3 linked regions of the Macaca mulatta genome follow. The protein of the gene in region 3 purifies or fractionates together with the protein of the main gene of each other region. This does not show direct contact. Links are inferred from orthologs where the notes say so. Each region holds a gene or a part of one and is shown on either strand. Other genes may lie near its edges.

What was found.
Region 1: the proteins of DCAF11 (region 3) and CUL4B purify together in Homo sapiens (affinity purification with mass spectrometry; 9 studies listed by BioGRID and IntAct, counting the BioPlex papers as one, with this or other methods). This does not show direct contact. The link is inferred for Macaca mulatta from reciprocal best matches to the Homo sapiens genes DCAF11 and CUL4B.
Region 2: the proteins of DCAF11 (region 3) and COPS6 purify together in Homo sapiens (affinity purification with mass spectrometry; 6 studies listed by BioGRID and IntAct, counting the BioPlex papers as one, with this or other methods). This does not show direct contact. The link is inferred for Macaca mulatta from reciprocal best matches to the Homo sapiens genes DCAF11 and COPS6.

The regions. Positions count from the first base shown.
Region 1 is NC_133426.1:126,941,801-126,945,401, forward strand, and holds part of CUL4B (cullin-4B), read right to left. Parts: intron 2,971-3,601; coding exon 2,808-2,970; intron 2,746-2,807; exon of another isoform or gene 2,642-2,745; intron 2,530-2,641; coding exon 2,440-2,529; intron 2,137-2,439; coding exon 2,054-2,136; intron 1,368-2,053; coding exon 1,300-1,367; intron 61-1,299; coding exon 1-60.
Region 2 is NC_133408.1:47,395,925-47,400,007, reverse strand, and holds the start of COPS6 (COP9 signalosome complex subunit 6), read right to left. Parts: upstream 2,902-4,083; 5' UTR 2,880-2,901; coding exon 2,807-2,879; intron 2,584-2,806; coding exon 2,458-2,583; intron 2,262-2,457; coding exon 2,130-2,261; intron 1,491-2,129; coding exon 1,402-1,490; intron 1,299-1,401; coding exon 1,236-1,298; intron 983-1,235; coding exon 935-982; intron 847-934; coding exon 732-846; intron 647-731; coding exon 554-646; intron 453-553; coding exon 352-452; intron 222-351; coding exon 81-221; 3' UTR 1-80. UniProt on the Homo sapiens protein: Component of the COP9 signalosome complex (CSN), a complex involved in various cellular and developmental processes.
Region 3 is NC_133412.1:97,231,902-97,236,168, reverse strand, and holds the start of DCAF11 (DDB1- and CUL4-associated factor 11), read right to left. Parts: upstream 2,877-4,267; 5' UTR 2,479-2,876; exon of another isoform or gene 2,391-2,478; 5' UTR 2,178-2,390; coding exon 2,023-2,177; intron 832-2,022; coding exon 704-831; intron 483-703; coding exon 355-482; intron 80-354; coding exon 15-79; intron 1-14. UniProt on the Homo sapiens protein: May function as a substrate receptor for CUL4-DDB1 E3 ubiquitin-protein ligase complex.

The sequences.
Region 1 (3,601 bases), on a different chromosome or scaffold from region 3:
AGAGCTGATACAGAAGAGACAAATCTTGAATTCGGTTTTCATCAAGGAGGTTATTTAAACCTGTATTTTAAAACATTTTGGCATTAAAATATAGTGAACAAAAAAGTGAACAAGATTATCAGACATTTTAATAAAATTTGAGTTATAATCATTATTGTGATACTGGTTTGAACTATGACTAGTCTGTATGTGAGTTCTAAGATTTCCTTTGAATTAAACCCAATCATCTTTCTGGGTAAAAACTAAATATAGAGACTTTAGTCACTATAAAAATAAAAACAGGCCAGGCACGGTGGCTCATACCTGTAATCCCAGCACTTTGGGAAGCCAAGGCAGGAGGATCGATTGAGCCCAGGAGGTCAAGACCAGCCTGGGCACAATAGTAAGACCTCCCCCCACCTGTCTATTTTAATATAAAAAGTTAAAAAAATTAAAAAGAAAAAGAAAAATGGTTAACTCCATAATGGTTTGTGCCATTCAGCATGATAGAGGCAAAAACAAACTTATAAAAACTGGTTTACATAAATATACATTATAAATACCTCATATATGTAGTAGCCATATTATGTACATAGTTATATTTCAGAATATTAGATATGGCCTGTGATATATCAAAAGCCATGCATAAATTAAGTCAAATTTAAATGAGGCTCTAATAAATATTTGATTTTCAGGATGAAATAACAGTATAACTGCCTTAAATTTCTAAATATATAAATTTTTATACCAAAGAAAATATTGTTGAAGAGAAAGGTAAAGTTTTTACCTATTTGTGGCATTCTCAAAGTAAAATGCAGGGTATACTCCAAATTCACTTTGGATTAGAAGTGCTTGGTTTGACATGCCATTAACAATAACAAAAAACCCTCACCACTTTAGTGTAAAAAGGAATACCTTTCCTTACTGAAAGCTAACATATTAAGTCAAGAATTTCCCACTTCTTTTCTTTTCTTTTATTTAAAGAGACGAGAGTCTCACTATGTTGCCCAGGCTGACCTCAAACTCCTGGGCTGAAGCAATCCTCCTGCCTCAGCCTCCCAAGTAGTTGATACTACAGGCACATATCAACCACTGTTTTTTTATTGGTATTTGTGGATCCCTCTCTTCTAGTTCCTGTATTTTCAGATAAGAAAACTGGCACCTTCAGGAAGTTTACTGTGATTAATAAGGATTGTGTCCATCCTCAGAAATGCAGCCACATGCTGTCAAACTTTTAAAAGGGCAACATCTTTAAAAATTCCCTACTAGTTTGCCACTACCATTTAAAAAGCAATCTCTTATTTACAAATTGCCAATTACCTTTCTGAAGAATTGCTGTTAAGTGTTCACCTAGAAGTTGTTTTTCTACAGTAGCAATTAATGACTTCCTACGAGGAAAAAAAGTTAGCATTATTGATGTTTGACTTCCAGAAAATGTAAAGCCTCTCCTGAAGGGGGGGGTGGAATCAAATAGCTCATTTTATGTTAATTTCAAGATTCCTATCCTATGTATAAATTTATTGGTGCTCAGAGTTACTATACTTTACACCTAAAAGAAAAAAACATAAAGGAATAGACAGGCAAAAATTTTTAAAAACCACTGCATATTTTAGAATTTGGTTTACATCATGAAATAAATATCTCCAAGACCTTGTTGTAGTTGGTTTTTTCCAAGTTTTGCTACTTTTATTAGGAAGGTAAAGAAATACTACATACAGAAGCCCCCCGACTGACAATATTAACACTTAGGAAAGCACAAAAATGGGGGGATCCACTGAATTTTAATTGGCCTGAAGAGTTTAAAGATCACATCAGCCTCTAATATTATTTCTAAATTACATTCTAAACACACACACACACACACACACACACACCCCCACCCACTCCTAATCGAATCCTTGGATGAAAACTAATTAATTAGGGAAAAGAATAACTTCAAGTTTATATTATGAAAACAACTGTTAACACTTCAAATCACACCTGAAAACAGTTACTAACATGTTTAGGATGGCTAAAGTGCTGCAAGTGATTTAACGACAGTTTAAGACTATTAAATTCAGCATGTAATACTTACTGGGTGGTCTGATCTAAGTAAGTAATAAGTCTGTCTGCTTCTTCTTCAAGACGTTTGTTAACATGATGTAGATATTCAGGAACCTACAAAGATAGTTTTTTATATTATTGTTTTCCTCCCCATAAATCACTCAGAAAATGTCAAGTCCAAAAGATCCTGGAAGCGGCCCTGTCAAATGTGACAGGGTAGAATCATATGTAAAAATTATAGGTAGAGTTTATGATCCAGAATTCTGGCCTTTAAGAAGAGAGAAAAGAAAGGAGCACCTAAGTGAGAGAAGAGCATCACAATGTTGGGAAGATAAATGCAAAGGGAAGCTTATATTCTACAAAGTAAGGTCTATTGTGAGAGACAGTGAGAATGTATTAGTCATGATTTTTAAATACCTCTCTTTCTTGCATTAATTTTTGGCCTTCAGCTGCATAGAGCCGGTTAGTTTCTTCCAAAAATCGTTGTTCAAAAGAATCTTGATAAATCTGGGAGGGGCAACAAAATGAAGGAGATCATTTATTTAGTAAATATTTACTAAATATTCTCTATGTCTATGTAAACAGCATTATGAATTTGGTTTTTAAACATCAAGCTAGGATCCTTTTGTAGTTTAGAAGCATGATGATTGGGTTTTTATGCTCATGTATGAGATGTGCTTCCTTCAGACATTGTTATGACATCAGCACATCACCTGTCTGACATCGGGAAAAAAAAACTAGGAAAAGCAATCAGCTCTGTATAGTATGTGTAGTAGTTAACTTACTTGCAAATCAGACAGCATGCTTAAAAGGCTTCGAAGTAAACTTCTATCAATTGCTTCACCATTCCTTTCCCTCTCAATCAAGAGAAGAATGCCATCAATTGTCTTATTCTGGACTTTCTGATCACTTATAATATGAGCCCTAAATAACTCCAGTCCCATGTCCCTAAAATAAAAAACACATATAACCTAAATTAATTGACAATACCACTTCTGAAGAGGTTTGCTTTACTTCTTACCACATGTTCCCATGCTAATTAGGGCTCCAGGGCTTTGAAGCAGCAATTGTCAAATAATAAAATCCACACATTTAATTCTGAATAACATTATTAGATTAAAGCACATAGGAAACTCATTTTGTCTTTACTGAGAATTGAAGCTAAATTCCTATTTTCCTCCATAACTAAGTTTTGTTGTATTATTTCTTTTTGTGGATTTCTTCCTTGCTCAAATCAAGAGACAAAATTAGTTCAAAGATATAAAACAGTTTTCACTGTACTGGTATTGAAAGCTTATTTGGTTATTTATTAACTGGTTTCAATACTCAAGAATCAGTGAATTCTGATCACTGCTGTAGGCAGATGATAGGTACATGATAGGGGGAAAAGTTCATGATACTATTCTATTTTCGTGTACACATACTTTTCCATAATGTTAAATGAGTGAACTCTTGATGATCAGCAGCAAAATGAATCACAATCATAGACATTCCAGAGTAAACTTTAGTCCTCTTGGCTAACAAAAAACTTCTTCATAAATTAATATATGCCCAGGGAATGTTAGCTATCTTCAATATT
Region 2 (4,083 bases), on a different chromosome or scaffold from region 3:
AGCGGTTTCTCTCAAGTGTAGCGCCCTCCCCTTTGGGACAGTTGCCTGACCCCTGTCCATCAGCCCTTCAAGTACCCTCCTCAGAAGAAGAGCCCGCGCATTCGCCTGCCGATGCCTTGTCGATCATAGAGGACGTTGAACTTGTTCACAAACTGGTTCATGGTGTTGCACGTTTTCGTGATGGTGCCGAGGTAGGCCATGAGCCCCACGTCGTTGCATTGCTGGGAGGGAACAGAAAGGACAAATTCCTCAGGGGATCCCTCGTGGCATGCCCAGGGAACAACAGTCCCCGGTCCTCCACGTGAAAGTGACAGCATGAGCCCCACCTCCCCATCCAGGTTTTAAACTCACATCATAAAAATCTGTCTTGAACTTGTCTGTGCTGAGCACCGGGAGGCAGTGACACAGAGCATAGGCCTCCCGCAGGATCTCATGATTAAAGGGGACCTCTCCTAAAGGCACAAAAAGAGGCTGCATTAGTTTGGATGCTGTCACTTCCCCAGGAGGGAGAGGAAGAATGCCAGGGAAGTGCCCAAGGAAGCCCCTGTCCTACCCGCTTCAGAGGCCTTGACGTACTCCAAGATGAGCTTGACGCGGCTGTGCAGCATCTTGATGGCGCTGTGCTGTGCTATCAGGTGTTCAGCCACTGCAAAGGGACGAGGACAGGAGGAGGTTGAGACGGGATGTGGCCACACCTTCCAACCCCACTTCCAAGTAATCCCCTCCATTACCAGTGGAGTTCTCTCCACTGCCTGTTGCTGTCATTCGGGCTACGTGGTCTACACCAATGCGTTCCGCTTCCTCTGTGGCCAGAGTGTAGGTCAGCTCAGCAAACAGCATTGTGGCCTACAAGGCAAGGTAACCCACAAAGGGAGAATCAAAAGCAGGAAAGAGGCCAAGAGCAGGATCTGAGGGTTCAAGGGTAGGGTATTACCTCTCCATTGATTATATCGATGACAGACTCAAAAACGCTGACAGGAAGCTGTGAAGGAGATGGAGAAACCTGAACACTATATGCCAACATTTGGACGAGCTGCTTTCACCCATTTCCTCTCATCTCATCTTCCCAAGAAACCAGTGAAGTAGGGATTACCTCCCTTCACAGTTTGGAGATGAAATGACTAAGACAGAGTTACAGCTGGTAAGTGGCACCTGGCATTCCCCAATAGAAGAGTATCACACAGTAAAAGACAACAGTGACAATCACGACAGAGTAGGCATGGGGTATTACTCACATCTGTGTGCTTGGTCATAGGGTTCAACTTCAGAAAGAGGGGGCTCTCAATGATCTCACACACCTGGAAGAGAGGGACAATGCACAGAAGTCAGTGACCCCCACCTTTCTCCTTCCCCTCATTCTCCATTCTCTGCCCCAGCATGCACAGGTGTGAGCATGTATACCTGCTTATGGACGTGGATGTCCGAGGGGTCAGGTGGCCCCCCTGTGGTATACCAACCCAGAAACTCCAGCTCCTTGAACACCTGTTTAACTGGAGGGGAAAGGGCCAGAACACACAGTAATTCTTTTTTTTTTTTTTTTTGAGTCTTGCTCTGTTGCCTAGGCTAGAGTGCAGTGGCACGATCTTGGCTCACCACAACCTCTGCCTCCCAGGTTCAAGCAATTCTGCCTCAGCCTCCCGAGTAGCTGGGACTTCAGGCACGCACCACCATGCCAGGCTAATTTTTGTATTTTCAGTAGAGATGGGGTTTCACTATGTTTGCCAGGCTGGTCTGTAACTCCTGACCTCATGATCCACCCGCCTCGGCCTCCCAAAGTGCTGGGATTATAGGCCTGATTCACTGCGTCCGGCCTGACATAGTCCTTTAAACCATCCTTCCTCAATGTGAAACTCCTGGTGTATTTTCACCAGCTTCTCCTCCTTCCTCAAATCCTGGCTCAGTTTAGAATAATTACTCCCTTCTATCCTGTCTTCTCTCATCCTTTACTTTCTTTTTGAGAAAGAACTCTGAACGTGTTCTTTTTCTGAGATCTCTCCAGCTACTCTCTTCACTTTTTCTCCTCTGTTCTTGGCGTCCTCTCGGGTTTCTTTCCAACCCTCTCCATCTTCCCCACCTTGCACATTTTTTTTAACTCCCACTCCTCTTCCCCACATCTATTCCACTCTCACACTGCTCCTCCTTGGTGTAATAATATTCCTTGTCAATTATAATCTTCTCTTCCACGGTGTGGGACAGCAGCTCAAAGGAGTTCATCACCTCGATATTTCGGCCCTCCTGCTTGCCAATCAAAGCCCCAATCACTGGGAGAGAATGACATGGAAAAGGTAACGTTAAAGAGACTTCTATGACCTGAGGGTCTAAGATGAGTGGGAACCAAGTATTGGGGAAACGATGATTTGGGGGAGGGGAATTGGATCCAGTAAAGGAAGGGGAAAAGACCACTGTCTGGGGGAGGTGAGCAAGGAGAGGAGACTGGAGTCTATGCCCAACACTCACCCTGCACAGGCCGCCCCTCCTGGGAGCGCATGCGGATCCAGTGGTCGGAGATGTTGAGAATGACAAGGGGATGGAGAGCGACGGAAACACTCCCAGTCACTCCGGAGGCCATCACGCTGGGAACTACTAAGGGTGGAGGGAAAGAGAGAGGGTGAGAGTCCGGGCCCCACGTTCTTCCCTGCAGATAGCAGTGGGGGACGACGGAGCCCGGGCCACACTTTTCCTCCCGCAACTTATCCCAGAGAAAGATGTTGCTGCTCCGCCCTCCTCCCTTCTCCCGGGAGCACAGCAAGGCCTCAACGCACCCCTGAAGGAGGTCTCCGGAAGCCGCCCGCGCACGGCCCGTTACCTGCTGCATCCACCTCCATCCCGCTGCTCCCTCCGGTCCCGTTTGTAGCTGCACCCGCCGCCGCCGCCGCCATTTTCCCCGCGCCCGCCAGCCTCGGCCCCGCCCCCTTCCCTCCCGGCTTCCGTAAGGCGAGCAGCGCATGTTCTGTGTCTCCGCGGCAAGCGGCGGGCCTGGCGTCCGGGGAGCAGGCAGTTCCCGGGTCGCGGCGGGCGGCACTCGGTGCAGGGAAGCCCGACGCCCTCTGGGCCTCGGTGCCTGCCGGTTTTCCCAGACCCTGTCCCCGCCTGTCGCCTGCGGGTGACCTTGGACAAATTAGTTAACGATTTGATTGATCGTCCTCGTCTGTAAAATTGGGATAAGAACTCCTAGTTCTTAAGGCTGTTGCAGAATGAATGACATGTCGTGTTATTTCCCTCACAATAAAATCCAGACAACTAACCACAGCCTGCAAGGCCCTGCCTGATCTGGCCCCGGTCTGGCCTCTACTTTTCTAGCCCTTGATCTTCAGGCTACAGCTGCACTGGCCCTCATGTCTGTCTGGTGGTGGTGGTTTGTTTTGTTTTGTTTGAGACAGGGTCTCGCTCTGTCGCCCAGGCTGAAGTGCAGTGGCCTGATATCAGCTGACTGCACCCTCAAACTCTCGGGCTCAAGTGATCCTCCCATTTCAGCCTCCCGAGTAGCTGGGATTACAGGTGCACCCCACCACACCCAGCTAATTTTATTATTATTTTTTTATTTTGATAGAGACAGGAGTCTCACTAGGTTGTCCAGGCTGGTCTCCAACTCCCTGACAGAAGCGATCCTCCATCCTTGGCCTCCCAAAGCACTGGGATTACAGGCATGAGCCACCACACCCAGCTCTCCGTGTCTGCTTTCCACATGCCTCACTCTCGCATTCAGGAGCCTGTGTTTCCTTCTCTTGTTCATCGTGGTATCCCCTGTGACCAACACGGTACCTAACACATTGGTGCCTAGATACTTTTTGAGTGAATGAAGGAATAATTTGGGATGGAATCTGGTGTTGAGTTGCTCCATCTTGTGAAAGTTGCAGATACCAGGACAAAAATCACATTGTCAAGTCCAAACAAATTGGAGTCATGAGAACACCAAGCAGAAGGGCTCATGCTTGCATGTCTGATATAGGGACTGTCTCAAGGACTTTCGAAAATAACCCCACAAGGCCAGGCATGGTGGCTCACACCTGTAATCCAAGCACTTTGGGAGGCCGAGGCTGGCCAATCACTTGAGGTCAGGAGTTTGAGACCAGCCTGGCCAAC
Region 3 (4,267 bases):
AGCCCCATACTCACTGAGATATCACTCGAGACTGTTCTCCAAGGGAGAAGCTTCCCCGGTGGCAGAGGCCCCGTTCTCTCTAAATGGAAGGGATTGGGGAATATTGCTAGCAGAAATAGAGGGCCACTTCAGCCATATCAAACCCCCTCCTCCAAAGACACTGCTGTTGTTATAGAAACGGACACAACACATCGTTGTCCGTCCCACAGAACTCCAATGGGGGCTGGTTAACTCTCCAGCCCCGGCCCTTGAGGCTTCTTTCTTGGAAAGTTGACTTCCTTTTCCTCTGGGGCTGGCAGAGATTCTGGCTGCTTTGGCAGGCCTGCTGCCAGGCTGGGAGGTGGAGAGGCCTACCTGGTGCAACATTCGAGGAAAGCTGTGCTCCTGGGTGGCCCGCCTAAGCCCCAGCTGCCCTGTGGCCAGTTCCACTTGTGTCTTGATCTCATTGCATTCCAGCTCCCGGGTGTCAGGGGTAGCATCCACTGTGAGTACCAAGTAGAAGTTTCATCCTAGGTCTTCCAGCCTCAGAGGACAGTTAGCAGAACTGTACCCAAGCCCACCCCTGTGGCTGAATATACTGGGGCTGTAAGGACTCCTTATTCCTTAAATTATCGTACCTTCTTTCAATGTAACCTATCATTCAAAATATCACTAAAAGGTTTTCCAGTAAAAGTCTTCCAACATTAGGGACTTTTCCTCTTACCAGGCGGGTTGTATCGATCCCCAAGACGACCATCCCAAGCTCTGTCATTCTCTTCCTCTGAGTCCAAGAGGGCCTGAATGAATTGTAAATTTGCTGCACCTCCTCCCTGCACCAACCTCACTTGGCCTCTGTGGAGAGACCCCCATTATAAAGGAGGGGACTTCTTCCCCCAAACCAACCAAATTCAGAGTAAATGGCTATCTAGCTCTTAGACCACTTGGTACTCATTTTGAGGTTGGAGGCTGATTAGACCTTGGCTGTTATTTTTTGGTCTCCTATAAAACACAGTAGGAAAGTGAGTCTTACTCTTATAGCAAGAGTAAGACCAACATGCTGTGGACGTGACCTACTAAGTTGACCTCCCAGAGAGCTAAACATTCTAACTGCATTTCCTTAGAGCAAGAGCAAGACTAATACGCTGTGGACATGACCTACTAAGTTGACCTCTCAACGAGCTAAACATTCTCACAGCATTTCCTTCTGAGCCTCTGCCTGAGAAGTCCACCACAGAAGACAATATTCTAAGCTGGGTGTGGTAGTGTGTGTAACTGTAGTCTTAGCTAACTGGGAGGCAAGGATTGTTTGAGCCCAGGAGTTGCGGGCTGTGGTGTGCACTGTGATCACACCTGTGAATAGACTGTTCTCCAGACTGGGGAACACAGTGAGCCCTGTCTATGTCTACTAAAAACAACACAAAACACAAAAACAAAAAAGAATACAATATTCTGATGGGACCCCTAAGCTCATCTTCTCCTCAAAGAGCCATAAGCAAAGAAAGCAAGGCAGCTGCACTCTTTTCCAGTCAATTCCAGGTGGTCTCTCCCTTCAAGGCATTCTTTCCTCAAGAACAAGTCAGAGTCAGGGCAAATTAAACTTGTTTTTCAAGTAAATCGAAGTGACCTCATCGAAGTGGCCTCATATCACGTGTCAACTGACTTACCAAAAAGTTCAACACTCCCTTTCCATCTCTTCACCCCCGTATATCACTGCTTTCCCACCAGGAACCTCCCCCCACCCTTTTTTTTTTCAAACTTACTTGGAAAAGAGATTATATTTGTGTAGTCACAGAGAGAGGCTCCCCTGAATAGCCTCTCAAACACATGAGCAGGTCCTCTTGGTGACCCTCCCTAGGTAAGAACCACTCTTACTGGGTATGAAGCTGAGTGCCATGGGTGCCCAGCAGGGAAAGGCTGTTCCGCTCAAACAGAACAGCTGTCCTGAGTGAATCCTATTTCCTAACCTCTGTAATTTTCCTGCCTGGAGATGGGATCAAGGCACTGTGGTAGCACCTGGTAGGGTCACACCAGAGGGTAAGTTACCTGCGGAGGAGATAGGCCAGTACCTGGGCCAGATCCACATCTTCATCCTCTTCTTCCTCTTCCTCACTCCGACGCAGGCCAGCCCCTCTTCGGGACAAGCCCTCGGAGGGGTCTCCGGACCCGGATCCTGCACTGCTGCTGTTCCGTGATCCCATCTTCTGGTCACAGCATCCTTAGGTACTGTGCGAGGACTCCGCCTGTCACCTCCTTGGGTTTGGTGAAAGCAAAGCGTGCTCTAGAAATACCAGGGTCTCCTGAGACGGGGTAGTAGCTATCTCTAGGAGGGTGACCCTCCCTCGGGGCTGAGATCCCTTTGCTTTAGCCTATGCCAACTACCAAGGCGTCGGGAACACAAACCTTCCCCAATCCTGTGAAGCAAAGAAAGCAAGAGTGAACCGTAGTGCGCTACCCTAGCTCACCAACTGAAGAAAGATTTGTTTTCTACACCAAACTCACCTATCGCAGTCCCTGGACAGGGGAGCGGGAGAGGTGTTGGGCGGTGTAGGATTCCCAGGTAACCTCTCTGACAGACCAATCGAAATCCCTCGCGGAAGAAAGCGCTTCACTAGCTTATCTCATCTAACCAATGAGAAGCCTTACGACTCAAAGACCCTCGGCACCCCCCCCTTACCAACCAATCAGAGCGCCTCCTTACGAAAGCCGGCAGCAATAACAACCAATGAAAATAGAATTTGGCCTAACTCCCCTCCTTCCTTGCCTCACGCCCACGTGGTGCGCCGGGGGTGTGTACGCCAAGAGGGGGAGGAAGCCGAGAAGCACCTCCCACTGAAGCCGGCGGTTACTGCCCCACGAGAGACCACCCACCAGCCAGGAGCGGTCGCAGGACCCGCAGCGGCGCGAGGCCTTGTTTACACCGACTGCAGCCACTGCGTTGGCCAACCGCTGCTCCGTCACGCGCCTGGCTCGTCACGCATCTCGCGGCTTCCCGGCCGGCGAGCTGCAAACGTCACACGACGGCCCCGCCCCCTTGGCCCGCCAACTGGACAGCGGAGCGCGATGATTGATAGGTAAGCGGGAGAATGCGCGAGGGGCCTGAGGGGAGGAGAAAGTGCTCACCCGAAGAGGGCTGTTAGCTCTTGTTGGGGAGGAGTAAGTGGGAACTGACAACTTCCTGGCTCAGAGACAGCCGAACTAGACGTAATGGCTGAGAGGCGGGGCTTAAAAAAGAAACGTTTGGTGGTTCGCTACCGAGAGGTATTTTAGCAAGGGATACAATTTACTGTCGGTCCCTAAAGATCATTTGGCATCGCACTTTTCAGACAGTGCCCAGGGGCCTCCTCTTTAAGCCTACTGCTTCCCCCGTCGAGCTGGAGCCGTTCTCCTGTCGCTGGCTGCAGCTCCAGTCGGTCCTGCCCTAAGGAGTGCTCGGCGTCCCAGTAGGCTTCCACACCGTCCTTCCGGGCTTAGCTTTTCGAAGCCTTGCTCTTGAGACGGCCTCCTTTTAGACCTCCCTTTATCTGCTCGGCAATTTTTTAAGACAATTCCTGGTCTTCTGCCGCGGTCTTTGCAGACGTTCCCTAATACACGCATCTTTCTCTCAAAGCTTTTCCGGTTCCGCTGTCCATTTAGACGCTCCCTTGGCCCTTCGGGATTTGCAGACCTTCCCTAGACCCTCTGTCCTCACAGTGCCTTTCCCTCCCCGGCCGTGAGTCCGGGGTGCGCGCGCGCCGCCTCCTGCCCCCTCCTGCCCCCTCTTGCGGGTTTATGAGTAACAAGCATGAGTCCAAGGCCGGGACTTGCCATATCTCTGAACCTCGGCCTGGCTGGGTGGGGAAGTGTGTGGGGTTGAATGACCTTGCTGTCTCCGGCTCAGAGGCCCAGGGTCCGAGCTGAACTTCAGTCCCCGCAGCCTGCACTCCCTTGGGAAAGCTGCGAGCTTCCCTCCGCCCGCTCCTGAGGGCAGCGATGGGAGCGAGGGCTCGTGGCCCTCTTGGGCCCTCCTGGGGTCTCTCCCAGTGAGGGCGAGGGTTTGGCCAGCTTTCGGGCGACGTCTTCTAGTCTCCAGACCCGGAGGCCTGAGCTTGTCACCAGGGCTAGCTTTGATGGGTTCTGCGCTTAGAAGGGTCCTGAATGCTTGGTTTAATGTTCTACTGTTAACGGTCTTGAAATTATCAATAATTTCAAAGCAAGTGCCTGGCATTTTCAACTTGCACTGGACTCCACTGATTATGTAGGCGGTCTGTAGGCAGTATGCTGGGCGCCCATACTCTATTGCCAGATTACT